Linked DNA regions of Arabidopsis thaliana. The protein of the gene in region 2 purifies or fractionates together with the protein of the main gene of each other region. This does not show direct contact. Each region holds a gene or a part of one and is shown on either strand. Other genes may lie near its edges.

The links.
Region 1: the proteins of CTR1 (region 2) and EIN4 purify together in Arabidopsis thaliana (affinity purification with western blotting, with the first as the bait; one study listed by BioGRID). This does not show direct contact.

Annotation. Positions count from the first base shown.
Region 1 is NC_003074.8:1,234,701-1,240,248, reverse strand, and holds EIN4 (Signal transduction histidine kinase, hybrid-type, ethylene sensor), read left to right. Parts: upstream 1-1,632; 5' UTR 1,633-2,283; coding exon 2,284-4,044; intron 4,045-4,133; coding exon 4,134-4,673; 3' UTR 4,674-5,040; downstream 5,041-5,548. Other genes in the region: AT3G04590 (AT hook motif DNA-binding family protein), read left to right, coding at 103-255, 397-742, 946-1,004.
Region 2 is NC_003076.8:973,834-981,400, forward strand, and holds CTR1 (Protein kinase superfamily protein), read right to left. Parts: upstream 6,017-7,567; 5' UTR 5,828-6,016; coding exon 5,180-5,827; intron 5,005-5,179; coding exon 4,703-5,004; intron 4,606-4,702; coding exon 4,464-4,605; intron 4,247-4,463; coding exon 4,143-4,246; intron 4,008-4,142; coding exon 3,802-4,007; intron 3,445-3,801; coding exon 3,169-3,444; intron 2,979-3,168; coding exon 2,938-2,978; intron 2,662-2,937; coding exon 2,593-2,661; intron 2,513-2,592; coding exon 2,412-2,512; intron 2,323-2,411; coding exon 2,238-2,322; intron 2,144-2,237; coding exon 2,045-2,143; intron 1,812-2,044; coding exon 1,743-1,811; intron 1,640-1,742; coding exon 1,508-1,639; intron 1,394-1,507; coding exon 1,299-1,393; intron 1,222-1,298; coding exon 1,125-1,221; 3' UTR 1,017-1,124; exon of another isoform or gene 876-1,016; 3' UTR 527-875; downstream 1-526. UniProt on the Arabidopsis thaliana protein: Acts as a negative regulator in the ethylene response pathway. Phosphorylates the cytosolic C-terminal domain of EIN2, preventing the signaling in the absence of ethylene.

The DNA.
Region 1 (5,548 bases), on a different chromosome or scaffold from region 2:
GTTAGCATGTTGATAAAGCAAAGAGATTCTTAATTCAGATACTTTCTTTGAAGTTTGCATATCATTGTTAAACTTGCCTCAAATTTCAAAAAATTTATTCAGGGTCAATACGAGATTCTCTCACTATCTGGATCCTATATCCGAACTGAACAAGGTGGTAAATCCGGCGGCCTTAGCGTTTCTTTATCTGCTTCAGATGGTCAGATCATCGGTGGAGCGATTGGTAGCCATCTCACAGCTGCTGGCCCGGTTCAGGTACAATTCTGTTGTATCATAGTTTCAACTTGCATATATTGAAACATTGTTATTGTTTCCAACCATCTTACACAAAACTGATCATTTCCTAAGATAGGAGGTCTGGCTTTGATTGATCGCCTTAGATTTGTGCAAATGCAGGTGATTCTTGGTACGTTTCAGCTTGATAGAAAGAAGGATGCCGCCGGGAGTGGTGGGAAAGGGGATGCTTCAAACAGTGGAAGTCGGTTAACTTCTCCTGTAAGCTCTGGACAGTTGCTTGGCATGGGTTTCCCTCCTGGTATGGAATCTACGGGAAGAAATCCAATGAGGGGAAACGACGAGCAACATGATCATCATCATCATCAAGCCGGTTTGGGTGGACCTCATCATTTCATGATGCAAGCGCCGCAGGGGATACACATGACACATTCCAGGCCATCTGAATGGCGCGGAGGAGGCAACAGCGGTCATGATGGCAGAGGCGGTGGCGGGTATGATTTGTCAGGTAACAAAAAAGCTCAAAACTTCTCGAAAGATGTCATCTTTCTTCATCAAAGTTCAAACCCTTAAATCCAAACAAGGACAGATTAGAATTGCTATGGAGATTGGTGGAAATTAGTATTTTGTAGAGTTCTAGAAGATTACAGGCTAAAGCTCTTCTCCGTTGTGGCAATGGCTTGAAACGCTGATGGATGTAATCTTGTGCAGGAAGGATAGGACATGAGTCGTCGGAGAATGGAGATTACGAGCAGCAAATACCGGATTAGCAGAGCTTCCAGGAGAAGTGTGTAGAGTTTAGATCCCAAGTAGAGAAACAGAAGGCGAGCAAAGAATCTGAACTGAGAGAGGACTTATTAGACAGAGACTCGTCTGAAGGGTCTTTAATCATAGAAAGAAGTTGCTGAGTGATTGCTTTTGTTCTTCTTCTTGGTACGGTGTATTATATTAACTCCACAACCTTTTTTTTATACTTTCAGTAACGATTCTCCTTCACTTTCAATTTCATTCCTTTTTTTTATACTCTTTTTCTTTTCTTATAATATTTTTTTTGGTTTTTCTTTCGTTTGTTACTAAAAAAGGAAATGCTCTTTTTGTGAAATATATACACTTCGTTTGTTCGGTTTCTACTTATGTTAATTATTCATAACCTATCTTAATTTAGTAAACGGTTCCTATGAGCCGTTACTTGGACCAAAACATTAACTCATTTGACGAAGAACAAAAAAACTCATTTGAGAATTCTGTTTATTTATTCATATTAATATTGATTTAGTTTAAAATTCTTGGTAACTTTATGTCAAGTTGTCAACTTGTAAATTTCTTGATTGATAATGTTGGAATGCTATAACTTATGTGAAGCCAAAAATTACTGTTAAAAATTCTTATCTTTAATGGGAATTTTTTGTTGACATCTAAGCTTAAAGTGAAACACCACCATTTTTATGGACTTGAGCAACTCTCCGGAAATTGCTTAAGCGAAAAGTCTGCTGCTTTTGTCTTAAAAAAACTTTGAATATTGTTGACTCAAGTCTGAAAATCCGCAACTGAAACTCCCGGAAAAGATCTGCCACCACCGGACCAACTCGGTTTCTTCTCTTTTCTAATCACTTCTTCTGTTTCTCCAACTTCTGTGAAAAAGATGTCAGATTGACTCGATTTCGTTGCTACAAATGGAGATGGGTCTTTCTTATTTATCTTACTAGATTCGAGAGGTGTGTTCTTTCTCTATTCTATTGGCTTGAATCTTAGCTTTCGTTTTTCTCTGATTACCTTCCCCTGGAATTTAAAAAAAAAAAACTCAAAGGCGGTTTCTTTTCTCAGTACTACGAATATCGAGGAACATAGATCTTGATTCCTTTGCCTTCTTCTGGGTATGCGTGTTTGGAGTTGTTTAATCTCATTGGTCTCTACGCGTTGTGGAAATCTATGAATACCAAGTCAGTTATGTTTAATTGGTTCATTGGATCTCAACTTGTAGAGAGCCTCAAGATTGTGGCTGGATTTGATTAGGGTTTTAGATAGAGAGATTAAAGATTGGATCAGAAGATGTTAAGATCTTTAGGTCTTGGATTGCTTCTGTTTGCTCTTCTTGCTCTGGTTTCTGGTGATAACGATTACGTGAGCTGTAATTGTGACGACGAAGGTTTCTTAAGTGTCCACACCATCTTAGAATGTCAAAGAGTGAGTGATCTCTTAATAGCCATTGCCTATTTCTCAATACCTCTCGAGCTTCTCTACTTCATTAGCTTCTCCAATGTTCCTTTCAAATGGGTTCTTGTTCAATTCATTGCCTTTATTGTCCTATGTGGAATGACTCATTTGCTTAACGCTTGGACGTATTACGGACCACACTCTTTCCAGCTTATGCTTTGGCTTACCATCTTTAAATTCCTCACGGCGCTTGTCTCGTGTGCCACGGCTATCACGCTCTTGACTTTGATTCCGTTGCTGTTGAAATGGAAAGTTAGAGAGCTTTACTTGAAGCAGAATGTGTTGGAGCTTAATGAAGAGGTTGGATTGATGAAGAGGCAGAAGGAAATGAGTGTGCAGGTGAGAATGCTTACTCGGGAGATCAGGAAATCGCTCGATAAGCATATGATTCTGCGGACTACTCTCGTTGAGCTATCCAAGATTCTTGATTTACAGAACTCTGCTGTTTGGATGCCTAACGAGAACAGAACCGAGATGCATTTGACTCATGAGCTTAGAGCGAATCCGATGAGGAGTTTCAGGGTAATCCCGATTAATGATCCCGATGTTGTTCAGGTTAGGGAGACCAAAGTAGTGACAATTTTGAGGAAAAACTCTGTTCTTGCGGTTGAGAGCAGTGGTTGTGGCGGTTCGGAAGAGTTTGGACCGGTTGCTGCAATTCGGATGCCGATGCTTCACGGATTGAATTTCAAAGGAGGCACTCCCGAGTTTGTGGATACTCCTTATGCTATAATGGTTTTGGTACTTCCGAGTGCGAATTCACGGGTTTGGACCGATAAAGAGATCGAGATAGCGGAAGTTGTTGCTGATCAAGTAGCGGTTGCTATCTCTCATGCCTCAGTTCTTGAAGAATCACAGTTAATGAGAGAAAAACTCGGTATTCAAAACCGAGCTTTACTTCGAGCAAAACAGAACGCGATGATGGCAAGTCAAGCGAGGAACACTTGCCAGAAAGTGATGAGTCATGGAATGAGGAGACCAATGCACACAATTCTTGGTCTACTCTCCATGTTTCAGTCCGAAAGTATGAGTCTTGACCAGAAAATCATCGTTGATGCGCTCATGAAAACAAGCACAGTTCTCTCAGCTTTAATCAACGACGTGATTGACATTTCGCCTAAAGATAACGGGAAATCTGCATTAGAGGTTAAACGGTTCCAGCTACATTCCTTGATAAGAGAAGCCGCTTGTGTTGCTAAATGCTTAAGCGTTTACAAAGGTTACGGTTTTGAGATGGATGTTCAAACGCGGTTGCCTAATTTAGTAGTAGGAGATGAAAAGAGAACGTTTCAGCTTGTGATGTATATGCTTGGGTATATCTTGGATATGACTGATGGAGGCAAAACCGTTACGTTCCGAGTTATCTGTGAAGGTACTGGAACAAGTCAGGACAAGAGCAAAAGAGAAACTGGAATGTGGAAGTCCCATATGTCCGATGATTCCCTCGGTGTGAAATTTGAAGTTGAGATTAATGAGATTCAGAATCCTCCATTGGATGGTTCGGCTATGGCTATGAGACATATTCCGAACAGAAGATATCATAGCAATGGGATTAAGGAAGGCTTGAGCTTAGGCATGTGTAGAAAACTTGCACAGGTTAGTGATCTCATCATGTCTCTGTTTCTGTTTGGTATATAGAGATTCTAATTATAAACAGTGTATTTGATTTGAAATTTGTTTTGCAGATGATGCAAGGAAACATATGGATATCACCTAAATCGCATGGACAAACACAGAGTATGCAATTAGTTCTGAGGTTTCAGACAAGACCATCGATTAGGAGATCAATCTTAGCAGGAAATGCTCCAGAGCTTCAACATCCGAATTCAAATTCCATTCTTCGTGGTCTAAGAATCACTCTAGCAGACGATGATGATGTCAACAGAACCGTGACTAAGAGACTTCTTGAGAAACTCGGCTGCGAAGTAACTGCTGTCTCGTCTGGATTTGAGTGTTTGAATGCGTTGTCAAATGTGGAAATGTCGTATAGAGTTGTGATTTTGGATCTGCAGATGCCGGAGATGGATGGTTTCGAAGTAGCAATGAAGATAAGGAAGTTTTGTGGACATCATTGGCCATTGATTATAGCTTTGACTGCTAGTACTGAAGATCATGTTAGGGAAAGATGTTTGCAAATGGGGATGAATGGTATGATCCAGAAACCGGTTCTTTTGCATGTTATGGCTTCTGAGCTTAGACGGGCTTTGCAGACCGCGAGCGAGTGATTCGAGCTCAGAGAAGGAAGCAGATATCAATGAATCTTGAAAAGCAAAAATCTTGAAACGAAGAAAAGCAGAGTGAGGATTCTTTGAAGATGTGAAGCATAGAGACACCTCTCTGGGGAAATGTTTTTGTTGTTGTTGTTGTCTCGGTTCTACAGTGATGAGAATTGAGTCAGTTTTCTCTATTTAGCCTAGTTTGGAGATTGGTTGGTTCGAAACTATTTATACGTAATGATTTCGCATTTTTAGCGAAAAAATAACATAAGTTTATTAGATTTAATAATAATTAATTTTATAATTTTGTCTTGAGTAAATTCTCTCTGAATATTTATACAATTCTTTTTTTGCATCTCATTATTAAATTCATCATATTTTGTCAAAATTCATCGCTTGTATTCTCTAATCTATTGCTCTAACTTTTTATTCTTTGTTTACTATTTTTTGACATTTTTTATTTAGTTTTACTATTCAGACTGAATGTTTCAAGCATTGTATATTTTGGACATTTCTTTGTCAACCAAAAAGAAATAATATTGTATCAAATCAAATGAAATTTATTAATTATTTATTTTTTGTCAATGTAATTTAGTTAGTATTTTATCAAATGTATTTTTTGTTTGTTTTTTGATATAAACAAAAAGTCTATTTAAAAATACTTTTTTTGACGGCAAAAACTTTATTTGACAGCAAAAACGTTTTTTTCTTAAAGACTAAAGTTTAGACCAGACCACCACACCAAACGTTTGATTGCTAAATGTTAGTATCTATACGAACACCAAAGTTAATGTTATTTAATGCTTTGTGTAGTCTTAAGAACGAACATCACGTAACGCTATAAATTATGTTCGACATATCGATGTTCGAATTTTTTAAAATGT
Region 2 (7,567 bases):
GATAATTGAAAAAAATCTGGGGAATAGAGAGGCGGTGGAAATGGGTGGGTCAGTTCCCGCCACCGTGGATTTATCTTTTTCGTCATCATGTTCCATTGATTCATCAGTTTAGAAGAAATTTGGAAACTTTAGTGACAAATAATTGTACAACCGACATTGAAATTGAAAGTTGTTTCCTTGCAGCTTCACTTAGCTCTCTCTCTCTGTGATTTGGTGAAGGAGAGAAAGTGGTGACGATGGTGGGTCCCACGTCATCTTGAGATTTTTGAAAGGAGGAGTGATTTAGCGCGTTTGCCAGGTCAGCTTTCTAATTTGGAACTGGGCCCTCACAAATCACTGATTCGCTTTTCGTGTTTCCTTTTTCAGAATTTAATATTGTATAATTTTGATTTACGCAATCCTATTGGTTACCGATCCATCAAACGATTAATTCGGAAGACAGGTAAAGTCGTTTTCAAGTGTGGGAACTTACTTAGACGCGAAGGCAAAAATAGTTGACTATGTATCTAGATATTTTCAGTCCCAATGCGTTTTTAACGATTTGGGATTATATTCATCTGTATTAGAGTCTCCGAAAGTTACAGTCTTATTTCATTTCTGTTGGTTTATAGTCCAGACTAATCGCACAGTGAACAAATGTAAATCCAATGAATCATATTGAGTTTGCAAAACCCTTTGACAGCATTTACCAGCTGCTCTTTTTTACCTTCGCTTAGTAACTAATTTAGCGGTATAAATGTACAGCAATGTAATTAAATATAGCTTTCAGTGCATTGCTACAAAGACATAACAACAAAATATTGCTTACCCTTTGGGACTAGATAGATAGATTATATCCCTCACATTGTTTCCATTACTACATTTTTTTTTCCTCCCTGTGACAATAGTCATGTACATTTTAACAATCTGCAACATTAAAAAGGGAACAAAACAGCAGACAAAGATCGCAAAAATAATACATGTATAAAAACCATGGGATTCTGTAGGATATGATTGATAGCTCATGAGGAATGTACCTTTAAAGCTATATCTTAACTAGTGTCTCCCTCCTGGGCAGCAAAAGAATGCTGAGAGTATATGTGCATATCATGATTATAACAACTTTTGAATGGACCGGGGGTATTTTACAAATCCGAGCGGTTGGGCGGAGGAACCGCTGATTTGATCAATGGTCTTAGCAAGTCCATTATAGTTGCAAATGATGGACGCTTCCATGGCTCACTGGTAATGAAACACATACATAAACATGAAGTCTATTCAAGAAGAATTCAAAAAAGAGATAGAAAATCTTAACGTACTTGGTCCAACAACCCTCGATTATGGCTGCAACCTGAGGATTCAGATTACGCGGGATCTCCAGCCGTTTACACTTGAAACCAACCGCAGCTACAACCTATGGAACATTTTTTTGTATGATCATATATAGCATGTTATGAAATGTAGAGTGAGGGACTTCCAAATGCAAAATAATATCATTATTATTTGAGATGTTTAGAGTGGAAAGTACCTGAGCCGGATTTAAGTTACCCCATGGTTGTTGCAATGTAGCAAGCTCCCACAAGATGACCCCGAAGCTGTACACATCTGACTTTTCATTAGACGGCTCATCTCGCAGGACTTCTGGTGCCATCCACTCGGGCTGATATATCAAAGTCAGTAATTATTTAGCTTCCATTGGAAATAGGACCTAGAAGAAAGTTACGTTGTTCAGCGTGTTTTAGTTTCAAACAAACTGAACTTACGGTTCCAGCTGCTGACTTCGAGGAAAGAAACGTGCTGGCCTTCAATCGCGAGAGACCAAAATCACAAACCTGAAATTTCAAGACAAATTGAGGAGTTAGAATAATAATGTTCTGATTGTTTTTAAGACGACAGCTTGAGGCTGCTGTATCTTTTAAGTTTCAGCAGATTAACGCCTTTTTGTAATGTCTCCAAACCAATTTAGAATTAAAAATCATAATTTATATATAAGCTTGTCTCACAAGAGGAATAAAATATCAAAATCAAAACATTGGACACAACAATTTCTAATTTAGATTCAAACCTTGACTGTATATTTTTTGTCAACCAATAAGTTTGGAGATTTTAGATCTCTATGCACAATTGGAGGATTGCGATTGTGAAGATAATTCATTCCCTTAGCCTGTGACAGAGAATTGGAAAGAAAGTTCCATGTGAAGAAACACCAAGATCAGGAAGTAATCACCCATACATGTAACATAAGGAATTAAACATACCACATCATAAGCCATACTCAGGCGACGTCTCTCATCTAATTGCTCCCTTGCTCCACTTTTATGCAAAAGTCTGTATAAACTACCTCTGTTTGAAAGAAATCATGGTATTAGAGTCATTATAGGCCAAAATTCTACACTCAGTACATCAAACCTTCCAAATCCAAGTAATTGTACCTTGACAAATATTCTGTCACTATTGACAAATTTGGAGGTTGAGTGACCGCACCCATGAAGAGAACAATGTTAGGGTGGCGAAGGCGTTTCATTATCGCAACCTGACAGCGAATCAAGATCATTGGAGACATTAATACAACAAGTTCATTACCAAAATCAAGAGAAAATTTTATTTGTGCACCTCTCTTAAGAACTCATTAACACGCTCAGCATGGAAGTCTTGCTCCATGAGAATTTTCACAGCAACATCCTGAAATTGATAGAGAATATTACTGCAATAATCAAAATTAGAATTCTTCTAGTGATAGAATTGTAAAATTCAAACAGGAAGACAAATTTATGATATAAAGACACATATACATCTAAAATGGGACACCTTTTGTCCGTGTTTAATTTCTGACAGAACGGAGAGTCACATATACAATAACTTTGCCTTTTATAATACCAAGCAGATCCAAAAGTCACAACCAAATTTTTAGAGCGAAAAAAAATTCAGCTGCGTAAATTCTGACAAAAAAGTTCTTACCGAGCCATGCCACTCAGCACGGTGGACAGTGCCAAAGGAACCTGAAAGAGCAGTCGCTCAAATTAGAGTGGAAGAATTAAAGGCAACAGAGAAGAATGTAATCTCAAAATGGGTGGCACTTTTTCCTTATTTTGTTCGAGAACAGAGTCCAAAGCAAAACCACTTCCTCAAGAATTTCATATTTCTTTGCATTTTTAGACCGAATCATTAATTTTTCCGTAAAATTATTACCTGCTCCAATCTTTTCTTTTATATTAAGATCACACCACGGGATGTCCATATCATCACCATCAAGTCCAAGTTCCCTATTTGCCCTGTTTGGAACTGGCTGACTGATTGGTGGGGCATTCATAGGTGCTGCTTCAATTTGATTTGACGCACGCATCATGTTCTGTGGAGGCATATTAGCACTGGGTGGCAAAGACCCACCACCATTTTCTGCCAATGCGTCATTCTCTCCACCCGGATTATCATATTGCCTATGAAACATTGAGAATCCCATATCATCTACAACCATTCAAACAAGCAGATATAAGAAATTAGAGTCCAGAAGACAAGTCTTGCACATAAATGCACTAGAATTCATAAGCTTGAACAGCAGACTAACAAGTTTAACCTTAAATATCATTAGGCAAAGAACCCACCAACAAACATACACATCAACAGCCAAAAACAACTAAAGTGAAAAGAGACAAGAAAACAAACAATAGAATCATTCTAAGACTACTAACACTTCAGATACTGAGACATGATCAAGAAATACCCTAAATGATAGGAGATTACTCTTTTAGGGGAAATACAAAACGAGATGTAAGCAGCATGCAAAAAGTTAACATATTATTCAGGTTTTTTGTATGGGAATACCTGATGCAGGATCGAAAACAAGATTAAGAGACTGGCTATCGGAGAAATATTGTTTGGCTAGTAACCTAAAATCGACTGCGGGTTCAACTGGCTTTGGTCGTGGAAACCGCAGAGGAGAAGAAATTGAGATAGATGAAGGACCATTTAGCAAGGAATCAGGCTCCCATAAGTGACCTGGCTTTCCTACTAAATCAACCAGGTACTCCCTGAAACCAAAACAAATTTTCCACGTCATCAACCTAATATTCTGCGAAACATTTGGAGCTATAATTGTTTTTCCAGAAACAAAAAGCAAAGAAAATAGGAAAATAAAGGCTCTTTCGCAATCACTTGTATCATACCTATCAAGCCCAAACCTGACAAGGCACGAAGCGGCATCGTCTCTATTACAATATTTACATCCTTTGGCAATTCGACAGGGTAAATCAATTATGTCAGCCAGTACCTGCATGCACCAAATAGAAGATATAAAATACTTTTTTTCTTTGGAACATTCAACTATCAGTAACCTATTTTTTTCTAATCAATAACACCACTTTTCACATTCAACGTTCTTCATATGTATTCCAATAAAAACAAATGGATGAAGCACAATAATTTATATGATCATTTCACAAGATGTCTTAAATGTCATGGGGATAGCATCAAAGTTGGGATCTCACTTTGAAGAGTAAAGCTCGATGTCTGCAGAGTCCAACAGAGAGGCTACCTATGGGAACCACCACTTTAAAGATTTCTTTTAGACCATCAATGCACTCCTTCCACATGGGAACCAACTCATCTTCCCCCATGATAACTGGACCCCTGGGGAAGCAAGAATTAACGAGTACAATGTGAGAAATCACAGGAAGATATAAAAATATAAGTTCAAAGGGATAGTAAGGATTGTATGAGTACAAACCCCATACGATTGCAGATAAGCTTTGCCAGCTGATCAACAACCTCTTTTGTGGTAATGCAGCTACAAGATATGTCGTGGACTCTATTGTGAAGTTCCTTGAAGGCTGGATCACTACGCCTATCAACTATGATCGCTTCAAGCGAAGAATCAACACCAGAATCAACAGCTCTTAATGATTCAATTGAAGGGATGCGACCACTTTCATGCAGGTCGATGCATAAGGTCCAAATATAGGGATCCAGACCATTCATCATATAAAACCCATCAGGAACTTTATCATAGTACGATAAGCAGCCATTAACCTGATGCAGCACACAAAACAATCATACTCTGCAATGTATCTAAACAACATATCTCATTTGCTACTAATAGACTTTTGGTAAGGAGATCTAACTGAAACTTCGGAAACAAGAGGACCATATCTCTATAACCACGATTCAATAATTTTGGGAAACAAAGCTTAACAGGAACAAATACCCAGAAACGATGTGAAACGGTTTCGGCTGAACTTGGCGAAGTCCGTAAAGCAGACTCGTCCGGTACAGGATCCAGAAAGTTCGGATCGTCGGCACAAGTAGCCTCCGACGAAAGCCTTAACGCCAATGCAAGCTGCAGCTGATAACTCTCCTCCGTCTGCTGCGCCCAGCTCTTCCCAGATGAAGACCCTCCAGCGGAGTCCGCCGCCATCTGTATCCTCAAATCTCCTCCACCACCACCAAATCCAAGCCTAAACCCATCATCTTGAGGAAATCCAACAGATTCGATCTCGTTAGCCGCCGCAGAAAGCGTAGGCATGTAATAATCCCCAGACAAAGAGCTCTCACCGAAACTACTCCCACTGGATTGCCTTTGCAACCCTAGAGACGAAGCATACATATTATTCCCAACCCGATTCGGTTGATTATTCAACCTATGATCACCACCACCACCACCGCTAGGATCCCAATCAAATCCGCCTCTCTCCGCCTTAGCTTTCCCGGTGTTCCCGCTGTTATGGTTGCTCCTGTTTTCGCTCGACAAGGAATCATAGTGAGGCGGAGGAGCTCCGGTGACGGAAACTGACACCTGATCGTCAGAAAATTGACTAAGCAAAGTGTAATTAGATCTTCTACCGGGCATTTCCATGGAAAAGAGAGTTATCGCGATCTAGATGAGAGAGTTTCCCGATCATATAAACATCAAACCCTAGGAAACCGCCATTGTTGAAGAAGTTTGGCGAGCTAGCTAGCCACTTGTTTCTCTCTCTAGTTTTTCATTTTTTTTTTGTACTTTTTAAAAAAGTCTCTCTCTCTCTCTCTCTCTCTCTCTCTCTCTAATGGAATTGGATTTTTTTTTTGTTTTTGCGTTATCATAGGAAATAAACTTACTCGGTGCGTTTCTGTTGATAATTTCGTTATATTCCTCTTTTGTCCTCCTTTTTATGGAACTTTGACATTTTTTTTATTTTTTGTCAAAACAATTCTCCAATTTAGTTTGTTTTTTAGTGTATTATTATTTGTCTAATTTTTGTATTCGACTATGATATCTATTCATATGTTTTGTGCTAATTTAATCGCTAATAAAACTGTTTAAACAATTAATTTGGTATTTCATATTTTGGTGATAAGCAACTGAAATTGGAAGATAAAAAGTAGTATCGTAGTGAAAGTAGAAAACGCAAAGCTAAAAGAGGAACATACACAGTGTAAAATACTAAACCATCTTGCCTATCAAATCCAAATACTATCAAATTTGATCTTTTACACCAATCTGAATCCGTAACATTGGATCCAAGTTTCGTATACCTAAACATGAAATTTTCATTCGGCTCTACGTAGTCTAAAAAACTCGACATAAAATAAATAAAAAGCCTTTATAACGTCCACAATATTTAGAATAGAAAGTGAGAGAATGGACTATAATAAAATAATTGGAGTCGAGGGGGATGTATTCGTGTATGCGAAAATGGATGGGCTCTTCTGTCTTTATATTCCTTAATTTGTCTATTCAAACACATTCGTATTTCTGGTCTTCGGCCTGCGACTTCTATACCATGCATGCATCTTATCTCTCTCTTTTTTTTTTTTTTTCGTTTTCTTTTCTACTTCTCCATTTTTTTTTAATTTGGTTATTTTTATTGCCTTTATGTTTTTTGTGTATTATATATAAATGAACTAATAATACTTCATTATGTTTCGTGTTATTATAAGTGAATTTTTCACAACCATTACAAAAAATTATCTTTTGCTTAAAAGTTAACTTTGGATTATAGTACTTCATAAAAATGTAAAGATTTTGATCAAGTACTTATCAACGCAGCTTGGGTAGTCAATGTGCTGTCATTAATTTATCTATCAAGCTATCCACGCAGCTTGGACAATAAATAAATATTTAAATTCTATTGCATATTTATATCATTTGATCCGCTAAGGTTCATCGAATACTGCCAGGTTCATTGCACTCAACGCATTTTTGTCATTAACTTACGTTTTTTAGCCATGGCTGCTGAGAATATAAAGTTGCTACTATGTAAAGAAACTTTTGGGTTTGATCATATTTGTGCACAAAAAAAAATAAAAAAAAAATCATACTTTTAAAACTAGTATTAATCCAAAAAGTGCTAAAACATAACAAAAAAAAATTCTCCTTAACTACTATACAAACATATATTTTTTTATGCGCATAAATTAAAACTTAACAATTGATTATGATCACATATGTTGAAAAAAATCGAAATTATGTGTGATATGTAAAACCGGAGTATAATATTGGTAAACTATAAATTTAAGAGCATTGGAAAATGTTCATGATTCATGCCGAGAACTCTTCTAAATCTAAACACGAGAGGCCCCGAATAGATCTAACTAAAATGAATTGTGTTTAATA